Linked DNA regions of Drosophila melanogaster. The protein of the gene in region 4 interacts with the protein of the main gene of each other region in a pairwise test. Each region holds a gene or a part of one and is shown on either strand. Other genes may lie near its edges. The genes, in order: uri, corolla, Nop17l and Pp1alpha-96A.

The links.
Region 1: the proteins of Pp1alpha-96A (region 4) and uri interact in a two-hybrid assay, tested with the Drosophila melanogaster proteins (2 studies listed by BioGRID).
Region 2: the proteins of Pp1alpha-96A (region 4) and corolla interact in a two-hybrid assay, tested with the Drosophila melanogaster proteins (2 studies listed by BioGRID).
Region 3: the proteins of Pp1alpha-96A (region 4) and Nop17l interact in binary tests that used the Drosophila melanogaster proteins (3 or more experiments, as listed by UniProt).

The regions. Positions count from the first base shown.
Region 1 is NT_033778.4:24,563,962-24,568,610, reverse strand, and holds uri (unconventional prefoldin RPB5 interactor), read right to left. Parts: upstream 3,058-4,649; 5' UTR 3,026-3,057; coding exon 2,996-3,025; intron 2,926-2,995; coding exon 2,627-2,925; intron 2,571-2,626; coding exon 1,172-2,570; intron 1,120-1,171; coding exon 652-1,119; 3' UTR 529-651; downstream 1-528. Other genes in the region: Fcp1 (TFIIF-interacting CTD phosphatase), read left to right, coding at 9-151; CG11414 (uncharacterized protein), read right to left, coding at 3,835-4,032, 4,101-4,298, 4,366-4,649. UniProt on the Drosophila melanogaster protein: Inhibits the activity of serine/threonine-protein phosphatases flw/PP1beta9C and Pp1-87B. Required for germ line cell viability and differentiation, normal transcriptional activity and maintenance of DNA integrity.
Region 2 is NC_004354.4:17,629,276-17,634,038, forward strand, and holds corolla (corolla), read right to left. Parts: upstream 2,773-4,763; 5' UTR 2,725-2,772; coding exon 2,607-2,724; intron 2,543-2,606; coding exon 2,252-2,542; intron 2,095-2,251; coding exon 1,907-2,094; intron 1,855-1,906; coding exon 787-1,854; 3' UTR 516-786; downstream 1-515. Other genes in the region: CG8326 (uncharacterized protein), read right to left, coding at 66-148; ND-24 (NADH dehydrogenase (ubiquinone) 24 kDa subunit), read left to right, coding at 3,147-3,185, 3,315-3,833, 3,988-4,158.
Region 3 is NT_033778.4:7,800,345-7,808,011, reverse strand, and holds Nop17l (Nop17 like), read left to right. Parts: upstream 1-1,626; 5' UTR 1,627-1,786; intron 1,787-2,445; exon of another isoform or gene 2,446-2,911; intron 2,912-3,073; 5' UTR 3,074-3,275; coding exon 3,276-4,500; intron 4,501-4,810; coding exon 4,811-5,831; intron 5,832-5,893; coding exon 5,894-6,026; intron 6,027-6,443; coding exon 6,444-6,569; 3' UTR 6,570-7,227; downstream 7,228-7,667. Other genes in the region: sax (saxophone), read right to left, coding at 1-304, 368-443, 661-696, 811-940, 1,414-1,474; PolZ1 (DNA polymerase zeta subunit 1), read right to left, coding at 7,254-7,667. UniProt on the Drosophila melanogaster protein: Required for cytoplasmic pre-assembly of axonemal dyneins, thereby playing a central role in motility in cilia and flagella.
Region 4 is NT_033777.3:24,516,551-24,522,872, reverse strand, and holds Pp1alpha-96A (protein phosphatase 1alpha at 96A), read right to left. Parts: upstream 4,604-6,322; 5' UTR 4,215-4,603; coding exon 4,166-4,214; intron 4,030-4,165; coding exon 3,681-4,029; intron 3,278-3,680; coding exon 2,992-3,277; exon of another isoform or gene 2,934-2,991; coding exon 2,786-2,933; intron 2,531-2,785; coding exon 2,379-2,530; 3' UTR 542-2,378; downstream 1-541. Other genes in the region: CG13622 (uncharacterized protein), read left to right, coding at 1-283; DZIP1, read right to left, coding at 4,836-5,282, 5,341-5,497, 5,553-6,283.

The DNA.
Region 1 (4,649 bases), on a different chromosome or scaffold from region 4:
TGTTCCAGGGGAAGACCTGCCTTCCGACCTGGAGCTTGGATCCGAGTCCAACAGCGAGAAGGAACCGGAGGACGAGGACGACGGCGAATGGAACATGATGGGCGCCGCTCTAGAAAGGGAGTTCCTCGGCCTGGAGGACTTTGACATGTAGAAATTCTGTAGCATCTGTGAACACCAGACAGGGCCATGAGACCCCGCGTTGGAGGCATCCCTGCATCCTGCTGGCCAGACACTCAAGACATATTTGATTCTCGGTAGACCATGATTGAACACAATGGAATGGGCTGTGTCCTTGAGTAGAGCGTCCAACTACACTTATGCTTAGGGTTCGTACTGTATGTATTAGCTGTTAATATGTACTTTAGAATAGCCTGTAAGATAGCGCACACGTGCGGGCGGCCAGGTCCTTCAATCGCGTACATTCTTGAATCAAAAACTCTCATTCTGATCTAATGTAAATTGAAGCCTACTGTAAATGTAAATGTTTTAAAAATAAATTCCGTTTCAGCGGACTAGTACCTAGTGTTTAATTTTAAAACGAATGTACACCACACCAGTAGTTGTTTATTGTTTGCGTTGTGTTTGTAATACAAATTCACATTAAACTTGAACAAATATACTAGTAATATCCAGCTGAAGTTTTACTCTTCGCTACGTTTTGTTAAGGGCTCGCTGCTCCTTGAAGCGGCTAACCCGCTTCTTTGGCGCATGCGAGTCGATGAACTTGCCCGGTGGCAGAGGCTCCGGTGCAGTCGGCTCCTTCTCCACAAGATCATGCATGACCTTTTGGTAGGCGCTCATGTCGCGCAGGTCATCGTCTAGGGTGCGCTCCTTCTTCTTTTGATTCCGGACCTTCCTGCCCTTCTTGGGCTGCTGGTTGACATTATGCGGCTCCAGGTCCACAGCAGATTTGTTTCGTAGGATCGATTTGGTCGCTGATTCAGGGTCAGTAGCGTCGCCCTCCGAGGAATTGGACTTGGAGAACTTCGCTCGGTCCTTCTCATACTTCTCATAGAAATCAAATGGATTTCCAGGTATATCATCACTTTGATCATTACTGGTCGGAGTTATGGAGCCGGAATGTGTGAAACATATTTCCGAAGAATTGGGCTTGGAGAACTGCAAGGCCAGGACGTTAGCTTATGATCTGATCGAACTAACATGATCTTACCTGACTTCTGGGATCTTCATAGGCTGATCCACGTGCAGCTTCGCTCATTATGGGAACTTTAACGTGCTCCTCGCCTTCAAAGCCGTTCACATAGATAGGAAACGAATCATTAGGCCGCGCCCGGTCCTTCTCATACCTCACATAGAAATCAGAGGGCTTTCCAGGTATGCCATCGCTTTGATCACTACTGGGCGAAGGTATGGCACCGGAATGTGTGAAACTTATGTGTAAAGTGTTTATGAGTCCCGTAGACTCTTCCATAATTCGATTGAGTAAATCGAAGTCCTGGACACTCTGGTTTTCCTTGACAAACTCAATGTTTCGTTCTACTTTTTGCAAGATATCCTGGGTTGTTTGACGTTTTGTTTTAATGGATGCGGGTTGTGGATCTCCTGCCGGTTTAAGAGGTGCATTTAGCTTGATGATATCCCTCGAGTTCTTTTTCGCATTGGGCAACATTTCGGCAACGGTCTCCTCCCTTCTGAATTCAAGTTTTTCGTCGTCGAGGGCAAACGAAATGCGACGTTTATTTGTGCTGGATTCAGATACAGTCGAAAGCTCTTTGCTTGGCTCATCTGGAAGATGATTGTTTTCGACAACCTCCTCCTCTTCCTCGCTGGCCTCCAGTTCCTGCTCAAATACCAAGTCCTGTAGGTCGTCCTCTAGCATGACCACCACATTCATCAAGTGAATCAGCTCATCGCTTATAAAGTTGACCTTTTGTATCTTCCTCATTTTTGCTTTAAGTACATGCAGTTGAGCTCTGAGGAACGGCTCACGATCTTCGTTGGGTAGCAGCGACATCTGCTCCCGTATGGTTCGCACCTCTTCCTCCTGGTCACCCTCATCATCATCATCACCATCATCTTCCGATATGGGATCCTGTATTTCCACGTTTCTATTGGTTCCTGCAGTGCGTTTTTTGGAAGATGGAGTTTCTGTTTCTCCGGACATGAGCTGGCGCACTAGGTTATCCGTTGTTTTAAGGCTTTCTTCTGCTTCTGAGCTGAGCTCATCGGCTTCGTTCTGCTCCTCGGCTTCCAGCTTCTTCCACAGCTCATCCTCCTCTTCCTGGGTTAAGGATTTAGGACTACTTTCGTTGGTGGATTTCAGAGGTTCTTGATTCAGCATATCGTGCAGCTGATCCTCGTCGATATTATCTGGATCTAGACCAAGTTCCTCCATCATTTCTCGCTCTTCTAGCTTCCGCAGCACTTCATTATCTTTCTTCACAGGTTCCGCCTCCCGTTCGAGGCGCTCCTTCTGCTTTTGCTGTCGCATTCGCTTTCTGTGCTCCGCCAACCACTTGTTGTGAGACTCCTCGTTGAAATCCTCCACAATTTCTACTTGGTCGCCACTGGGAACCGCCCCCTCCGCAAATGGAGTGTGGAGTTTTTTCCTGTTGGAGGAGCGTAAACATTACTCTTCCCTACTTCTATTTACTGATACACTTACTGCCACAGATCGTTCTCCACGGCCAGCTTCTTCAGCTGCTCCTCGGCCAGCTTCAGGCGGTACTGGCAGATCTCCTTGGCCTTGTGGGAGGAGCAGGCGGAGAAGTAGCCCTCGTAATGACCCACCAGAAGCTCGTTGGTGTGGATCAGCTCGCCGGGCATCAGCGCCTTCCGTCCAATGGGCACCATAACCTCCACGCTGAGATTCTTTGCGAACTTGTCCAAGTTCCGGATGGTGCTCTCATTATCGCGCTTGAAGGCTTCCCAGCGCTCTGTCTCGCTGGCGTTCGTTTGGAGGGCCTGTCGTACAGGGTTCCATAAAGTAATTACCCCAGTTTCTCCATTCATATATGGTAATTAATAACATTACCTGTAGCAGAGCATCCTCTCGCCGGTCCATTGTTATTGTTGTTTGCGACTTTAGTGTGACCGTAGGTCTATCCAAAAAAAATAATCTTCAGTAATGCATTTTCATATAAATAATTATAGTAACATTATAACCAGTAATTAATATGGATTCAGACATTTATGTGTTACGTAATAAAAACTTAATACAAAACAGTGTTAGTTAAATTTGATTTATTTAAAAATGTACTAACGCGAGTCTGCGCGCCTTTATAGATTTCTACCTTCATAATAATTCTATGTAGAAAAATGGAGAATGAGCTTTTCTCGAATTTCATATTCGACAAAAGCTCTACTTTTCCTCAAATCAGAAAACTCAACTACCAAGCATCGCTCCCCAGCTAGCAAACCACGTAGATAAGAGCAGAAGAGCTCCATATGTCCGATAATAAATCTGCTCCATACGACCCAACAACTACAACCAATTTCCATTTGGTGATAACCAATTTGCGACCACCATATGTGGACATTAGATAGGGCGACAGGTTAGGCAAACATACCAGGTGATTACGACTAATAATTGTGATTGATTTGAACTTTATTAGGTTGCGGGCATTTGCTAGACACAAGCTCACTCGTAAATATTAGAAACGCATCCAAGATAAGCTTCTGTCCGGACTAAGTCACATTGAACAGATGGCTTCGTGGGTCGCGCTACATGGACTGATGGGTTCGGCTAGTTCTTTTTCGGGTTTCCACTCACAACATGATCTGGGGACATGGTTCCTAGATGGTTGACACGGTATATATGTACATAGAAAATATACAGGGATAAAGCTTTTGTTGTCCTACAATCCGACCACCTCAATTGCGGTGCGTGTTAGAGGCTGAGCTTCCGAGTACGGGGAAGTTTTTGGTCAGCTCATGCGCCTGCTGGTGGCTCTTTAAGTCGGCGGTGATGAGGATCTGTTTGCACACCTTGCAAACTTCAAGCGCGGGCACGGATTTGCGCTCGGCGGGCGGCAAGCTGTTCAGGTGTTGTTTGTGCACTAGGTAAAGTTCCTGGAAATGGCGCAAATAATGGAGTTACTCTTTATTTACTATTATGTGGTTTTGCAAACGGGTCTTACCTGTTGCTTACTTATGTCCGGCAGCATGGCCAGCAGCTCCGGGAACAGGTTGTAAAATGAGCTCAACATGGCGCACTGGCAGTGCTCGTAATAGGCTTGGCCAGAACAGGATCCGTCGCGGAACTTAGACGAAAGCAAGCGGAATTCGTTCAACGCCTCTGGGGTCTTGAGCAGGGACATAACCTCATCAACCAATTTCTGGACGCAAGACAAATGCTTTTTAAGTTAATGTTTTCTAACTAATTGGCAAACGACGTTAGCTTACCTGATTCCTGACCTCGGTATCTGGTGGATCGGTGTACGTATAGGGGCTGGGTACAATGTCATACGACTCGCCCAGCGAATTGGTGAACGTGAGATTGTTGGGCAGCTTGGCCACCGAGTTAACAGTCACGTTGGACACGAATCCTGGTGGTGGCTTTAGCGGTCCGCCAGGTTTTAAGCCGGGAGGAGCACGTATTGGCGTAGACGGAGCCCCATTGGTTTTTTGTTCGTTGTTATTATTTCTCTCCTTCGGTTTGGCCGTCTTAGGCTGATTCTCCTGGTTGC
Region 2 (4,763 bases), on a different chromosome or scaffold from region 4:
AATGTGAAATGGTGCAGATATTAGTTTAGCTGCCTTTTTCGACTGACTTGCCACTATGAACAAACTTCTTCTCCTTCTGTTCCAGCTGCTTGAGGGGATCACGGACGCCGTGGTGCTTGCGCACGGGAATCTTTCGTTTCCGAGCCATTTATTTTGGGTTTTGGTTCAATTTTTGTAAAACAAACTCGTGGTATCGACAGCATGGGTTAAAATACTAAGCGCGATGCATGCTGACAAATACCAAAACAAACCATAAATATACCAAATCGATTAAAGCTTGGACTCAAACCATTGGCGCCCAGAATTACAAATGAAATATTAAAGTTAAATATATATTAGATTAAATATATAAATGTATTTTACACTATGTATTGTATTAAGTAGTCTTCATATTCCCCTATTTTATAATATACATTTTTAATAAAGATTTATATGCTGTAATGAGAAAAGTATTTTATTGCAAGTGGTAAAATTTACTGTTTGCAGTAAAATTAAATATTTAAAGTCACGAATTTGTCTTAATTTATTGTTTTATTAGTTTATAAGCAACGACAAAATGAAGAATAAGTCTGAAACGGCACTTTCGAACTGAATACGTATGATTTAAATGTACATATGCATATTATGTACGCAAATTAATTTCATTATAAAGCTACAAATAATTTAGCTGAAGTGAAATTTTTTTTGATTGCAAATGGCAATGAATGAATAAGTATCTGGATATTAATTAATTGTCCGTTCTTATAAAGAACATACATTAATTTTTGACCAAAATACGTTAACAATTTAAAGTATGTACGCCGAGGCGGCAGTAGGTGTAACATCATTATCATCGCTGAAGTTCAGCAGGTAATCATCGTCAAAATTGTTGTGGGGCGAGCTGAATCGAAGTGATTGATCATCAAAGTTGTTGAATGTGGACGACGGATGCTTAAAGTAATCCGGCATTGGTTGGCTCATTGGGAACTCCTCCTCCTCCAATTTTAGTCGCTTGCAAGGCGGCGCCTCGTTTTCATCGCGATTGCTACCATAGTTCATAAACTGGGTTGCAGTAAAACGATTAAGAGTGCCCTTGGAGGTGCTGGGTATATCGTCGCTGGCCCAGGAAGATATGTTTTTGAAGGGAGAGAGAGTGTCGACTCTAATTATTTGTGGTTTATCGGAAATTTCATTGGATAGCTGCTCATCAGTCTTCGGGTTTTCGCCGATTTTTACTTGTTTGGCCGCATCAGCCGGCTCCTCCTCTCCTGAAGCCTCCCCTCCGGATTCCTTGTCATCCGATACGGATTCCTCGACTTCTGAGCCAGATTTCTCATCATATCTATCCTGTTCTAGATGCAAAACCTCTTCTGACTTTTCTACTTTTACCTCCTGCTCAAATCCTTCATCTTTCAGCGCCATTTCGAATTCTTCTTCTGATATTTCCTCAAAATCTTCGTCTGTGGCCTCCATTTCGTCACTGTCCTCTTCTAATTCCGCATTTGGGACACCTGCCTCTTCTGAAGGAGAAAGCCAATCGGTCTTCTCAAATTTCTCCTCTTCGATATGGCTTATCTCTGGATAGGGAGAAAAACGCACTTGCTTTGTTGGCGAGTTGGAAATGGCAACAGACTCGACCTCCTTGCATTTGATCAAAATGGATCGCAGAGGAGTCTCCAGCTTCTTAGTAGTGATCTCTCTATTCACGCTCGTCATGGATTTATTGTCATCTGGTCTGATATTCTTAAAGATGAAGTTGTTGAGGAAATCCGAAGCGGACTGAAATGGTGAAATGGTGCTAGCGGATGGAACACCAGCCAAACTTGGTTCAGCGCCCTTAGTGACACCCGTTTTAATCAAATTCCTTTTTTGCAACTGAAAAACGGAAAAGTTATTCACTTGGAATGGATATTTCGCAGCTACTCACCTCTTCCTTCAATTCGTTTATCAGCTTTCCCATCTGTAAAACGCTGACTATCTTCTTATTAAGCTTATCCGTCATACTTCTCAGCGTAATTGTCCACTCGCGATCCGACTGGTCCAGTTGGTCGTCCACTGAGGCTAGCTCCTTATCTGCCTCTTTTTTTAAGGCTTGCTCTTTTCGGAATTCCTGGACTGAAATAGAAGCTACTTGAGAATCATTTAAATAACACAAATGAACTTATACTATCACATAGGGTAAAAAATATTAAACAAAATGTTTTTTATTGTTTATGATTATATAGCATTCAAATGGATTCCGTATTCAATAATACCTCATACAAAATCTTACCGATGCTGCGCGATTCGAGGATTGTGTTCTGCTGATTCTCTTGCTCGGCCAAATCCTCCTGCAGCTTAATTTTGCGCTGGAACTCCTGCTCCTTGCGATGCACCGTGTAGTAGAGGATGTCCTGCAGCCCGGCCATTTCGAGCAGCTCCTCAATTCGCGTGATCTGGAACATACAGTCCTGTATCATGGTGTTGGCCTGTGCCATACCGGCACCGTTATCCTCCACTACCAAGGCGCACTGCTTGACCAAGGTCAGGTCGAATAGCACCTGCTCCAAACGCGGCCCTACAACTGAACAAGCAGAAACATGTATGTATAAATCTTACTTGGAGATTCGCGCATTATGCCCACTCACTCTGCTCCTCGACGATCAATTCTTTCCTTTTCTTGAGTTCCTTCTCGAGCTGCGCCATTTTGGTATCTTTTGGCCAATTTTGCCCCATAAATTCTTTGACAAGTGGATATTTTTCCATATTTTGTCCGTTCAATGTTTCCCCCCGATAAGCTTACAAGTTTGCGCGTTCAGTAATTTATCGGATATCGAATGCTAAGGCACAGCGATCATTGTTGAAAAGTGTCATAGATACTGAAGTCACAGCGATATATATCGCTTACTGTTTTAGAAAACTTATTTTAAAAAGGAATAAAAAAATGTAACGTACCGCTGAATATTAATTTAATTACAAGTTTTATTTGTTTAAGCTTTTTTTTATTAATGTTGTACAAGATTTGTAGAGATTTGCTCATCTCTGACGACAAGTGCCAGTGTTGGCAAACGCTCCGCCGAAAATCAGCTGTAAGCGGTGCTTGTTAAAAAAAAACTGACAGCAGCCGACGGACTTCACATAACATAAGAGCAAATTTTCAGCCTTTTCATTATTTTGGAAACGCCAGAATGCTGACAAACTGTGCCTCCAAAACACTGGCCGCCGTGGTGAGTAGCGCAGCCATCCAAACTGTCCAGTAATTCGCGGTGTCAACCAGGGAAGGCAACCTGTTCCCCGAGTTATATAATTGGCGACAGGAAAACAATAACATTAAGGATATGTGTTGTTATTTGCAGCGCGCCAACATCCGGGCAATTGCCACCAGCAGTGCCCGGGCCAGCGACAATCTGTTCGTCCATCGCGACACACCGGAGGATAATCCCAACATCCCGTTCGAGTTCACGGCGGAGAACAAGAAGCGCGTGGAGGCCATACTCAGCATCTATCCGGAGGGGCACAAGCGCGGCGCCATGATCCCGCTGCTTGATCTGGCACAGCGCCAGTACGGCTGGCTGCCAATCTCTGCCATGCACAAGGTGGCCGAGATTCTCCAGTTGCCCAATATGCGCGTCTACGAGGTGGCCACTTTCTATACGATGTTCATGCGCAAGCCCACTGGCAAGTATCACATCCAGGTGTGCACCACCACACCATGCTGGCTCCGCGGATCGGACGACATCCTGGAGACCTGCAAGAAGCAGCTGGGCATCGGCGTCGGCGACACCACCAAGGACAGGAAGTTCACCATCTCGGAGGTCGAGTGCTTGGGCGCCTGTGTCAATGCGCCAATGGTGGCGATCAACGATGACTACTATGTAAGCAATTCTAATTGCTAAATGTGTTTCCTGGTCATTTGTTTGTAGGAAACGCCAGTTTCACTCTCAGCCTCGTCCAGCGTTTCAATCTTAATGCGCTGAAATCGACTCTATATTGTGCAAACATTGCTAACGTTTTTTTTTTACTTTGCAGGAGGATCTGACATCCAAGGACATGCAGGACATCCTGAACGACCTGAAGGCGGATAAGATATCGCCCCCTGGGCCACGCAACGGACGCTTTGCCAGCGAGCCAAAGGGCGAGCCCACTTCCCTGAGCGAGGAGCCCAAGGGTCCTGGCTTTGGTCTGCAGGCCGGTCTGTAGAGGATGAGCAAGGAGCAGAACCTATCACTGATTGTCGAACGAAAGTTAAATAAATGTTAAGCAACTTATAGAGGTCATTGATAAAGGATTTTTGGATTTTTTTTTAAAAATATGCTCACTTTCCATTGGAAAGTTTCCATTTTGAAAGGTTACACATAAAATAATAACTCCCAACGAACTCGAGAATACTAGTACATTCAATTAGATGTGGAAGATCGCCAGAACCCCAATGCAAGCCAAATGTGCGTTTTTCATATCTTGACCAATAAATGATTTTATTTTGTAGTGGAAACGGCAGGTTCCCATTGCTAATTATAATGGATGTTTACTATTGCATACGTACGCATGTTCCATTACTAATTATAATGTTCGCTCATTATAATTGTATGTACAATGGCGTACGTACGTAAGAACGAATATTATGAATTAAGATGATTGGAAGAGTAGTTGAGAGGCTATTTTCAGCTGTGGCAATTGACCAATACAAACATCAATTACTCAAAGGATAAAACTAAAGCTACAGAAATGATGCCTTACATTCTACGCTGGTTGAGTGCAATTAACCAGATATAATACTACATGTATGTACGCACTGTGATGCAGTC
Region 3 (7,667 bases), on a different chromosome or scaffold from region 4:
GCAGAGCGATGACCAGAAAAGGACCCAGAACGGCGACGAGCATCTTGCTTATGCTACTGGTATCCGCGGTTATCACCGTCACATCATTGCTGTCGAAGGGCAGCAGTTCCGGAAAGTCTCCCTCATTGCAGTAATCACCGGCACAGCAGACCACATTCACGAACTTCCCCGTATTGCGTTTACTGGGCCCGTTGATCTTCAAGGAGTTCTGGCTGCAGATCATGGGCAGTTGATCCGGCGAGGTGCTGCAGCCGCGTGACTCCTGCACCTGACCATCGGCATCGCGTGTGCGCGACTTCCAGCACTGTTGAAGTTCGGAAATTAAGTTACATTTAAGTTTTAATCAAGTTTAAGGTGGAGTATTCACCTGAATCGCATTCTGGCAGGTGTGGGTAAACTCATAGGGATCCCGACAGGGCGGCTCGCAGGAGTAGCATTTGTATCTGATAAAAAAAAGAGAGAGTTTAATAAGATTGAAGAAGAATCGGTTACGCAAACGGGCAGCTTTTAATTGTTAACATTTGGGTATAAAAGTATAATATACTATAAAATATTTAAAAAAAATGGGGTTTTTTAAGTAAAATTATGAATATTTTCAAAATTTTAACTAAAAGTTAACCAGTTTATGATGTTTTAGTTCATGAGTCGTGTAGGTTTTACCTTCTCTTCATGCGGCGCTTACTCTTAATGTGTCTCCTAATTAAGGATTAGCAGCATGGCAATTAGGAGGGAAATGAGATTAGCAATACAAAGCCTTTGGGCGGAAGCGGGAGCTACAAGCTATGGGCTCAAGACTTAAGATATAATCACCTGGGATGCGTCTGCACCGAGTTCTGTGGCACGGCCGGTAGCTCCTTGCCATTGAGATGGGCGGATGAGGCGGAGGAGAGCTCCATGTCTAAGTCCGGTATGTCCTCCCGCAGATGATCGCTGATTTCGGCTGAAACATAACAAATGCACATTAAACCATATGCACATAGCATATACATATGTACACACATGGACGGCCCAACCAACACAAACGCCACCAGCACTAACACACACACACACATGCACACAGGCGCCCCAGCAAGTTCTGTATACACACACAGAACGGTGGTGTGCGTGGGTAAATCATTGAGAAAATGCACTTATGCTGCAAACGCCCACGACATCCGTTTATATAATACATTCTGTGGGATCCATCAGGTGCTTCTTTCACCAATCAGCATTCCGAGGGCACTTTTTTCGCCTTGGCCTGGCCAAATACGCAACGCAATTGGCCAGAACCGCAGCATATGAAAACAAACCCAAAACACTCAGTGACTTTTCAAGGCATTATATGTGGCTCTAAAACCCCATAAAATCGAAATTTCTCTTGCGCACTCTCTTCACCAAGCACTTGGTAATTGATTAACACTAATTGATGCCCACCTCTGGCATTATTGTACAGCAGAAACGTCAATAGAAAAACTAAATATATATTGGACTCCATTGCTAGAAATGTTATTTGTCCGAGCCTATCGGAACCTATCGATATACTTCTAGCGGGCAGTGTGACCAGGGCCCACATCTGCACATAACATATTTCACATAAAATACCGGGTCTTCAAATTTCCCAAATCCCCTGCGTAAAAATACCAAAGCACAACACGCACACCAACACGAGCAGCCGGTCAGCGGAAAAGTTTCTAGAACGTCAAACTCGAACTCCCATCAAAGAGTCTTTGGCAAAGGAGCCCATTTAACAGACAATTATTTTATTCAGTGCCGTTGTGTTCACAAAGCATAATTGTGTTCAATTTAGGTAAGTGGAGAAGCAGGAGATCTTCAGTGGAGGAGTTTTCGTGCCATTAAGTTGTTTTCCTGAGTGAAATTAACGGATTTACCTACCCGGTGTCATGGAATATAACAAAACATTTGCTTAGTTAGGGTTTTCATGTCCACTGCGACCGGTTTGTCCAGAAAATCAATGGGTTTCAGCTAGTATCGATCAAACGACAGAGTTTTCCCCCTCCCACAGCGCAAACATGTGTTTTTAGTCACGTAACTGTTATAATTTTCCTCGTTTTCCTTGCAATGGAGAAGATACACACGCCGTAGGGAATCATCTTACTGACCCCCCAATTACCACCCCCGCCCTCCTGCACATATATGTATGTACATAAGTTTGTAATATCAGTTGGCAGACGCAATACAAACATTATCTTTGTATATACATACATATGTGTGTAGAGATGTGGTCGTTTATTGTACAATTAGTTGGGTTGCGCCAGAAATCGCATAATGTGTGTGTGAGCGCAGGGGCTGCGGGGGCAGAATCCCGCTAAACAAAAACAATTGGGGCAAGTGGTTTTTTTCGCGCTTATCAAAAGCCCCTCACTGCGCAGAGGACGCTCTCTCTGTGGGCCGCTCGACTCGCAAAGAGCCTCCAATATTTGCCGGCGTTTCGGGCGTAGCGCTCCCATTCTCATAAAAACGCTCGTCGGGAAAGCATCGCACCAAAACTCGAAAAAAAAAACAGAAAACATTTACGCGTTCTCCTAGAATTTCACAAACTACGCAGTTCGTTTATTTATTTATTGGCCGACAAGTAAAAAAAAAACTCGTGGTCAGTTTGTAGTCATCTACACACATGTGTATCTACTTACATAATGCCCGTAAATCCGGCGGATAGCCGGTGATTTTCGACAGCGACCTTTCTGCGTCATTGATTTAATATTTATTTGCCTATCTGCTGATTAGAATTTGATTAAATGCCAGCTCGGTGTTTTTTTTTGGCTGCGAAATGGTCAGGACCTAGGGCAACCTTGGGACCTGGTACTTACTTGGCTTATCTCAGATTCGATTGGAAAGTTTCCAGAGTTTCGCCAGGTTCCGCAAGATTTAGTCATGCCCTCAAGGTTTATTTGCAAAACTATAAAATAGCCAGGTATACATAGAACTTACATATGTATAGCCGAAACAGAAAAACTAGTAATTTTTCCCAAACGACTTGTCTTGTTGTTATTGCAGTTATACATTCGTAATATAAGATAGCTGATTATCTTACAAGATTGTCCGTACTTACATCTATGTTTATTTGTACTTTCAGAACCTTCCAGAAATAGAAACCCAACGCATTTGCCAAGGAAACGTGGCCCAAAACTGAGCAACCCCTAACAAATAGAAACAAACAAAAAATCAAAACCCGTCGAAGTGATAAGAAAATTTGTATTTGTGTAGTAAAAGTGCCGAGGAGAGAAGAGGAGACCGAAGAGATCCCTCCGTGAGTGAAGTGTGCCTGCGAGAAAGCTATGTCCGCATCTAGATCGCGTAATAAACAATCCAAACTTTGTGACGATGAGCGGCTCGATATAAGCAGGGACGAGTTCAACCGATTCCAGGAGGCCTTTGGCAAGGAGGAGTTCCGCAAGCTCTTCTTCGACTACGTGGATGAGATCCAGGATCCTGAGAACCGCAAGATCTACGAGTCAGAGATCACGCAGCTGGAGAAGGAGCGTGGCGTGGAGGTGAGGTTCATCCACCCGAAGCCGGGATTCGTGATCAAGACCGCTCTAGATGGCGAGCTCAAGTGCTTCATCAACATCGCTAGCTGTGAGGAGATCCAGAGGCCCAAAAATGAGGTGGCCACGGATCCGTCGAGTGGTAGCCGGGGCCTGAGCTGGTCCATTCCGATGGCCCAGACCACGTCGCGCGATGACTTCGATGCGAAAAACAACCACTGCAAGGTGTTCGACGTCGTCTTCCATCCCGACGCCCTTCACCTGGCCATGCGGAACAAACAGTTCCGCCAATGCCTCATCGATACGGCACTGGACGCAATCGAACGCGAGTACAAGGTCTCGCTGGATCGCGCCAACCTCAAGTTCCCCAAGCTGGACTACAAGGGTATTCCCCGTCCCACTGTGATACGCAAGATGGCCGATAATCCCACGGCCGAGGAGCAGGAGCCACATCCCCTGGCGCACATGTTCCCCACAAAGCCACCCGCTCCGGGGAAACAAGAGCCCCGTGTCCTGCCCATGAAAACGAAACCCTCTCCGGTGCCGGAGTTCACGGTGCCCAGGTATACGATCAAGCACAGCCACGACGTGGACTTGTCCGAGTACACGGACGAGCTGGATGCCAAGCTGCACGTGACCGTTCCTCGTTCTCTTGTCGTGGAGATCGAGCTCCCCCTGCTCCGCTCGACAGCCGAGTGCCAGCTGGACGTCACCTCCAAGTCCATATACCTGTTCAGCGAGCGACAGGGCGCCAAGTACCGCCTGAAGCTGGACCTGCCCTTCATCGTGGACGACAAGGCGGGCCGGGCCCGCTTCGACACGGATATGCGTCGTTTGAGCATCACGTTACCTGTGGTCCGGAAGAGCATCCAGGAGCAAGCCCAGATGCACGAAACCTTGCGCCACTTCAGCCGCGAGGACAGCGGCGTGGAGCTGCACTCCAATAGCGAATCGCCGGTGGAGGAGGATCCCGATGGCGAACTCAGCGATTCCAAGGCGGATATTTCCGAGACTTGTAAGTAAACCATTAATAATATCATATTTAAGAGTCTGTAAATATAATTAACAATGAAAACTTGTAAATCTCACGTACAAGGGGTCATCCATTCCATCCATTATTATTAATTATTATAATAGGCAGTTGTATTATGTATGATAATATTATAAGATAATATTGTGTGGATCGAACTATTTTCGATTAAAAGCTTTTAAGTTTGTTTAATTTGTGCGAAGAGAATGGTTGGCTTTTGGATTGGATTGTTCTTTTATTTTGATACTCTTTCAAATAAATATATTAATATATATATATTTGTGTGATCCCTCAGCATCGCCCAGTGTCGCACCTGCCAATAGCCCGTTCCTGAAGAGCTCCGTGCACTACCAGCTGCCCAGCAAGTTCGACTGCAACGTGCTGGACAATGTGATGGCCTTTGTGCTGCACGTGCCCAACGTTCAACCGGACTCCATTGAGCAGTTGAGGGAGCAGCGGAGCCTGCACCTGAAGTTCGCCACCATCGGCAGTGGCTACTATCCCACCCACTACGCTTTCTACGTGGAACTGTCGGCGGAGCATGAGGATTCCTCCATCGAGAGCGCGGAGGCAGAGGCCTGGGACAACAATGTGGTGCTCAAGCTTTGTCTGAATTCGCAGAGCGAGACTCCGGCTAGCTACCTGGCCGGTCTAGATGCCACGGAGCTCAAAGAGTACCCAGTTCATGGGCAGTACCATGTGAAGAGCAAGGGAAAGGTTAACGCAAAGAAGGATAATGCTCCGCTCGATGTCAAATTCGAGCGCAACCAGGAGGGCCATGCCCTGAAGGTTACCATTCGCCCCGGAACAAAGGAGGAGGAGGAAGATAAGGAGAACCAAGACCAAGAGCCCGAAAGCGATCAGCAGCAGCAGCAACAGGTGCAGAACAAGAAGCCCGGCAAGAAGCAACGGAAGAAGAATAAGAAGGAGCGCTCCCTATCCGAATCTGCCTGCGCAGATATGATCCTCCAGGAGCCACTGGCTAAAACTAATGAGCTTCAGCCGAGGGCCACGTTTAAGTTGCCGCCGCAGCGCAAGCAACGCAGCTACTCGGAGTGCAACGATAGCACTGGCCGCTCTCATCGCGGCATTCTCAAGCGTTTCAGCCGCTACGGGCCCCGACCCTCGATGTCGGACAGCTGGTCGTCCATTGACGACTCCTCCTCGTACTCGTGCTCCGTGGATGCATCCGGAACATCGCTGTTCTCTCAATCATTCGGCGGCATTCCCGAGGAGGACCGTTCGGATGCCGGGCTCTCGGAGAGCTGCAAGAAGACTGTTAGATTTAACGATCACATTATGAAGCAAGTGTTCCGGTAAGTACCAGCTAGAACCCCTGATAATACTCGGTAATTTGACAATTTACTCAATCGCACAGACTCGACTCCAGCATCCTGGGTCAGCGCAAGAAGAACCAGAAGCGACGCGATCTCAAGCTGCGGGCTCAGCAGCGTCGCCTCAGCGAGGGCGATTCTGTCGACTACGAGGAAACCCGGGGCTCTGCCCTCAAGGTGAGATCAAGATCTAGTTAATTGAGCGAATATCCCGTCCAGTTAGCGGGCAGTTAGGCTGTTAGCTTGCTAATTGAATTATGGCCCATCAGCGAAATCGGGCAGTTTGGCTTTATTTTCGTCACACCAGACATAAATATTGATCAAACCTTTGTTTAGGGAATTCTAGTACCCGTGTGCGAAATCTAAACAAATCCGAAATGAGCTTTATTTATAGCAGGAATATATGCAGCTGCAGCAAACTCCAGGGAATGGAAAGTTTTTGCACTTGTAGACAGTAAATAATCGCAGAAATGTTAACATCAGCGTGTTAGCTTGTGATAATACATCTCAATATTTCAAATTTGTGTGAAAATTGAGCGAAAAATTATTAGTTGGTAGTCTGACATTAATGCAAATGTTTATTCTAATTTACAGCAAGAAGAAAATCCGTCAAGGAACTGCAACGATAGCGGATTGGATCTCACTGGAGCAGCAGGTGCCCACAGCAACAACAATGAATCGGATGCTAAGAACACCATGATGTTTGAAATGGATGATTAGGATGTTATTTAAACCATAAATATATTCATATTTTTTGAGTGATTTAGTGGCATGTTTTCAAGGTTTTTAAATGCTACTACATAAATGTTAACTAACGCAACGTTTTTTTTTTTTTAATATTTATACTGTAATTCCTTTTATATCGAGGCGAATTGCTCAATTGGAAATACACAAAATTGTATTTAGGCAACACGAATCAGGGCTAAATCAGAAATCAAAATGTTCATTACATCAAATACTAAGTGTTATGTAATTCGGTTAAACATTGAAATTGTTAAAACGCAAGATGAAATCCTACGCTGAACTGAAAAAGAAACCTATTATTATAGATCGATAATTTCATATTCATTCTCATTGAAGAACACACAACAATGATGTCTTACAAGTTAGCAAACTACAAGTTTTAAGTAAACATTAAAACGCTTGTTTATTGGCTCCATGCTCAGCTCATATAACAATCATAACACGATAAACCTAAACAATATCAATAGTTAACAATTCCTCTAGTATTACACACAACAAAATCACCCAATGCATAAGTAGAGTATAAGCTACGTACATGTTTAGAAGCACTGGCTGAATCAATGCATGTAATTTTAACTTTTATAAGCGAGCTGCAAGTTAAAATACATATACATCTCTTATGAATGAGAAATCCAACCTGCATACGAGTATTGATTGGCATTAGAAGTGGTGTTCAAGGAGTTTGTTCCAGTGCTCGATTTGCTGGAGTTCCCTTCGCTTTCCCTCCAAGACATACAGCACTGGGCAGTCGAGGGAATCACACTGTAGGCTACCCAGGCGTCCGCAACAAGCCTGGCATATCTGCCGAGTTAGTTGGTAGCCCCTCTCCAGACGCGCTGTCTTATCTGAGAGCACAACTACGCACGTGGTGGCGTTTTTCAGGCAGTCTGGGCAAATGCCCGCCTTGGTTTGGCGGCCACAGTCGATCACGCAGCTGGTGGTAGAGAAATACTGGGAGATGGTGGACTTGGCACCGCGTGCACCCGCCAATTCGTTGGCGGTTCCAACGGCCGGCGTCATGAGCAACTTCCTCGGCAGACTGGCAAACCAGTCGTGCACATTGGCGCCTATGAG
Region 4 (6,322 bases):
CACAAGCGAATGCTTCAGTGATGTCCGCCAGGATAAGCTGCGCCTGCAGCGGGCATATGATAAAATCATTTTCAACAACTCGGACAAGTGGAACAAAGATCGCGCCAATGAGAGCAGGCAACAGGAAGTGACGAGGAGCAGCAGCAGCAGCACCACCACCACACCTTATGCCTTAAGGCAGAAGTTGCTCCAGCTGAGGCTCCAGGAGGATGAGCGACATGGCAGGGGCACGGGTGGCACATGTGCTCCTTTGGGAAAGAGTTGCTCACTGCGATATAACTAAACACAAAGTGCTATACAAAGTAAATTTAGTGCAATATATTAAGCAACATAAAGTAAAGTTATAAATAAGATTTTAAAGTCCTCGAAATGCTTTAGATTGTAACACCAACTATATAGACAATAAATAATAGATTTGCTTTTTTAAACAAGAAACTAACATGCATTTCACTCAAGTAAAAACACATCTCGAATTTCATATTTATTGCTAGTATGTATTTCAATTTTTTTTTTAATAAAACAGTGCTATTTTGTTACAAGTGCTTCGTCATTGTGTTCATTTTGTTTAATTTGTATTTTTTTGTTTCATTTTTTAGCTCTTTTTTAAATGATTTTTTTGTTTGTTATTTTTTTATTGTATTTTATTTTTTTTGCAATTTACGCTTTGAATGCATTATAAATTTACCCCATCTGTCTTTTCTAATTTCCTTCTTGGGGTCAATTACACTTTAATTTTACGATATTACGTTATAGATTTCTTATGACTTGTGTTTTTTGGGGGTTGAAAACAGCCGATGTCGTACTGGATCGCATTATTACAAGTACATATATAGTCGTAAATATACGTTGAATTCATTACAACATTGAACAGAGTACTAGAGTGTGAAATAGAAGAGGACTCATGCTTTGCTTTTGGTTTTGTTTTTTTTTTTTTGTCCGTAGGTTACACGATTGTTGTTAGTAGGTTGCTTGGTTGTCGGGCGGGGATTGGATTGGATTGGATTATACAAACGAAACCATTTTGGGTAACTTGCGTCCGGCTGCATCGCTCCGGATCGCTGCCTGCCTGCCTGGGCATAATACTTGTAATTGAATGTGGCGGCCTTTAGCACTAGAATGTTGCGACGTTAGTCGTAGAATGCAAAATACACAAAAGTGTACACTTGTACGATAAACAGTGTTTGTGTCTGTGTTTGTTGCGCTGCTGTTTACAAATATTTTATTACTTGCTTATTTTTGTTTCGATTTTTTTTTCTATATTTCGTGTGAGTTTCACATGCACTTAATGGGTCTGGGGCCGCTGCTTTCCTTTCGTCTGGGCGGGGGATTAAAAGGGGGTAACATTATCTGCCTCGTCGCTGACATCAGCAGAGAGCACACAGTGCCGCTCAAAAGCGTTCGCCTTAAGGTAGATTTTCAATTCGGGTTTATTTTTGTCTATATAAACATACTTTTCAGGGTTCTCCTTAAAATCGTGTGTGCGTGCTTGCCTGTATGTGTGTGTTTGTGTAATGCAAACAGTTAAAAAATATTCACAATATTTGTTTATTTTAATATTTTTGGTGTAAACAATTCAAGCTTTTGTAGCTTGCAACTAAAATTGCTTTCCTCGTTTTAAAACTAAGTAAACATGTATCGATGTCAAATATTACAAAAATAAATCGTGCTTCGAGTACATACATATGTAATATGTAGTAACCTCAACTCACATTTAAAAGCATTCTCGTACAGTTTAATTAACATAAAATTTAACATTGTTACCATTTGCTAATATTCCCTTAGATACGCAAAAAAAAAAAACAAGGAAGAAGGGAAGTGTGGTTAAAGACCTTTGCCAAAGGTGCCGCCAGGATCGGCATACATAATTAAAATGCTGTGCGAGTTGGAAATGCAAATTAAAATACAACCGGTGCGTGCACTTATGGTACCTACTGTACGGATGATCTGAGCATGTGTATGTGTGTGTGTGTGTGTGAGTGTGTGGGTTTTGCGCAAGGAAATATTATAACAAAATTAATACATTAGGAGATAAAATATTCTTGCTTATGCAGTGTCTTACACTACCATTAGTTTGAACTAAAGTGTCTCGATTTGTGTTTTCTGGTTTCTTAATTTCATTTCATTCGTTTCGTTTTCCTTATTTGTTTTTGTTTTTTTTTCCTTTTCAAATGAAAGATAGGCTAATTTGTGTAGATTCATATTCCCCATATAACGTTGCTCACGATTCGATTACACGTTTATGATAAAAACAAACTCTCTGCGCTTTCCGTTGAATGTGGACACACGGATTCTCCTTTCTGTTTTCCCTATTTGTGTTTTGTGTGTGTGGCCGTTTGTAGTTGCTGTTGTTGTTGTGCTTCGTTCGAGGTGTGCAGTGTTTATTTTTTCTTGTTTTTATTGTTAGCTCCGCGTGGCGGTGTCAAAGGACGTCCTGAGCTGCCAAAGTTGGGATAAACAAATCGTCGCTTGTCGGCGGGTTTCAATATCTGGAAGGAGCACATCAATGTGTCGTCCACGGACATCATGGCACCTGTAAACGTAATCAATAATGATTAATCAATTCATTAGAAGCGGGTGTCGTGCATAGGTAGTTTCATTCTCGGTATTGATTATTGATTATTTTTAAATGCGCATTTTCCGAGTTGAATTTAAATCTGGTTGCCAGCTTTCACTTGCCGACAGCTTATCGGCAGGCAAAATCACCGAGTACAAGGGTGCAACGTGGTTGTTCTCCAAATAAACAAGGTTTATCTCCGACTAAAGTCCCCGAACAATGATCACTTACCCGCGTTGTCGAATTCCCCGCAGTAGTTGGGCGCCGAGAAGAGCGTCACCAGCTGACGTTTGGCGAAGAACTCATAACCGTCCTCCACTACCTGATGAGCCCGACAGATCAGGTCAAATTCGTGCTTCTGTAAAAATTTACCCACAACCTGCAAGAGCGAATGCATAAACAACATTGTGGCGAACAGTGTAATGCGAAGAACCCACCTCTGCTCCAAATGTGAAGCTCACGCCGCGATCATTCTCGCCCCAGCCCATGGTATCCTTATCCGGATCCGACCACAGCAGATCGCACAGCAGTCCCTGATCGGGCACGTCTGTGGGACGCATGATGCGTCGTATCTGCTCCATGGACGACAGATCTGGACTCAGGCCACCGTGGCAGCAGAAGATCTTCTCATCCACGATGGCGGCCACCGGCAGGCAGTTGAAGCAGTCCGTGAAAGTTTTCCACAGCTTGATGGTGTAGCGACGTTTACATTCGTCATAGAACCTGCCAATTAAGTGCAATTAGTTGAGTAATTTTATGGATTATTGCTATAGAATGTGGCATTTACTTTATGTATTTGAAGTATGGCTAATTTAATTGTAATGGATATCGTTGTGTGCGTCAATAAACTAGAAAGTATTAATAAGCTTGGAAGCATAAGTAGACATCAATATGTCTGGGAAATTTTTAAAGCTCACGTAAACAATAAACAACTATAAGTTCTATAGCATGTATAAAAGTACATAGTCATCAGAAGTAAATACGAGTCGTAAGAATAATATAAATTGTAATCAAATGAGTTTCAGTAATCTAAGCAGGAAAGCAAATTGTTTCGGTGCTGAACTGAACAGATTGCTAACCATTTCATCAAGCTTCATCCTGTTTTTGGAGCCGCCTCCCCACTTACCCGTAGATGCGATTGATGCTGGCGCACTCATGGTTGCCGCGCAGCAAGAAGAAGTTCTCCGCGTACTTGATCTTGTAGGCCAGCAGCAGGCATATCGTCTCCAGGGATTGCTTGCCGCGATCGACATAGTCGCCCAGGAACAGGTAGTTTGACTCGGGCGGAAAGCCGCCGTATTCGAACAGGCGCAAGAGGTCATAATATTGTCCGTGTATGTCGCCGCAGATCTTCAGCGGTGCCTCCAGCTCCAGGAGTATGGGCTGCGACAGGAATATCTCGCGGGACTTGAGGCACAGGCTGCGGATCTCGCTCTCTGATAGCTGAACATTCTTTCCCGGTCGTGCACCGCGCACTGCAATGGAAAACCAAGCAGGGAAAATTTACGTTAAGGTGATGAGAGTGGGCGGTGGTTGGGTGGCAAGGCATGTGGGGAATGGGTGATGATGGGTGGGGGCAAGGTAATCAAAAGTTGGAGCCCTAACACCTACCCTCCAGCAGGCGCGAGATGATACTGTCGATGTTCATGATATCCGACATCTTTGTGGGCCCGCTTGCTCAGCTTCCTGAAGTTCGCTTATCCGCCGATTGCAGCAACTGCTATTTCCCGTAACCCGTGTATTTTCGGTATACGTTCGTTATGTATGTTATTTCATCGATGGGCACGGGCTGCGTGTGCCTGTGTGTGTGTGCGCCGTGTCCGTGTGCGGATGGAAACTCGGTGCTGGGCTAATCTCGCCCTTTGGTCAGCTGGATGCACGGATTCGCGGATTCACTGCCTCGGTTGCTCACCCCTCTGAGGTTGGCTGACTTCAATCGTTCCGATCCTTAGCCAGCTGCCCTTTTATTGCATTTAATGCACGTTTTACTCGCGACGTACTAAAAAATTTTCATCTACGTTGGTTAGTGACGTCGATTGTTTACAGCGCGAGTCGATTGCCTATCGATTGCCTATCCATTGCACGGCGCGCAGCTATCGGTAAAAGGTAGTGTGACCGGAATATGCAAATTCATTTAAAAAACAATATTTTTTAGTTAAGTACGGTACATTGAACAGGTGATAGGTACTCATAAAGGAATATAATTATCTTATGATATATTGGCTATTAAACGTATCGTTGACATTTATACCCAAAGTATTATAATATCATCTTTATTGACTCATTTTAGGTTATCATCGCTGTCATTGAAGCTCTTCCCGTCCTCCGTGGTGTTGAACATCACCCGCTTCCTGGGCAGCGGAACTGGCCTCGAACTCAGGGACGACTTGGAAGCTCCTCGAATAGTGGCCGCCGGCTTGACCAGGATCTCCTCCAGACGAGCCTTGAAATCGCGACTAACTAGTCTTTGAGGACTGGGGCTTCGAGTTTGCTGTTCGCTGCTATCCGTTTGCTCATCCGTCTGCTCTTCGCCTTGAGAGCTGGCTATATCCTCTTCAGACTTTTCAGAGATCGCAGACCTCGGGATCCCTTTGCCTGGAACCTCCATTGGCTTGAGTGGACTCTTGTGCTTCAGCAACATTTCCGCGCGTTCCGAGAACTTGGCGGAGCACAGTTTTTCGACAAACTTGCGGATGCGATTTCGAGTGGCGTAAAAATGTGGATGTTGCTAAAGGGTATTCCAGAATTGTCAAAAGTTCATTAGTTTTTGGCAGTTATAGGCTTACCAGTTTCAGTTTGTTGCGGTGCTCTGTCAGCTCGGAGTTCACTCTCTTCAAAGAGTTATGCGAAATACCTTTGGACTTCATATCGAAGCCGTGAGACATCAACTTCCGGTTGACCATCTTCCGGGCATCCTTGCGAGTAAGTGGTTTTTGAGGGCTCCTTAAAACATGTGGATTATTATTACTCTAAGAAAGCTTAACATCGAAACACTCACTTGATGATTCTTCCAGAAGGCTTGATTGTTTTTGGCGTTGGATCCTCTCGTGCTGCTTCCGACCCGGAGGTGGGAACATCGGTCCCCTCCTCCTCTGTCAGGCTGCGCTCCTCTTCGTTCTCCGTCTCTTCTTGGCTGAGACTATCGCTTACGTCCGTGGCTTCTTTCGTTTCCTGCTTATTAGGAGCAGGTTCCCTTGGAGATTTCGTATAAGTCGGATTGCTGTCCGAACTTCCAGCACTTGGCTGCTCCTTTTCCACCACTTGAACTTGGGTCACCAGCTGTGGGAATGGTTTCTCCGAACCTTTTCGTGGCGCCTCCTCAATGGAATAGGTGTCATCGTCATGTTTCTGTTTGAGGAACTCGCTCTCCACCTGCTTGCGAATCCGATCAATGTTGGTTTCCTCCTTGCGAACCACCGGCTTGGGTATTTTCGAGGCAACTGGCACAGTCTGCACAGGCTCTGGCTGCACCTTTTGAACACTCAGCTGCTTGAGCTCTCGCTCCAGTGCCCCTAGCTTCTCCTTGTAGCCCTCCTCAAGGTGATAGACCACCTCTTCCAGCCTGTGTGCGCTGACCTTTCCAATCTCTGCCACCTTCTCAGTGAGTATGCGCTCCAGATCCTCCAGACACGGCGTGGCCACCCGATCTTCCAGCGGAGGCGTGCTGGCGGATGCCTGTTTACTCTGCTCGAGTGCGTGGCTCAGGCCCTCCAGCCTCTTGTTAATGTCCTGAAAGGATATAAATTGTAATGGTACTTCCACAGGAGT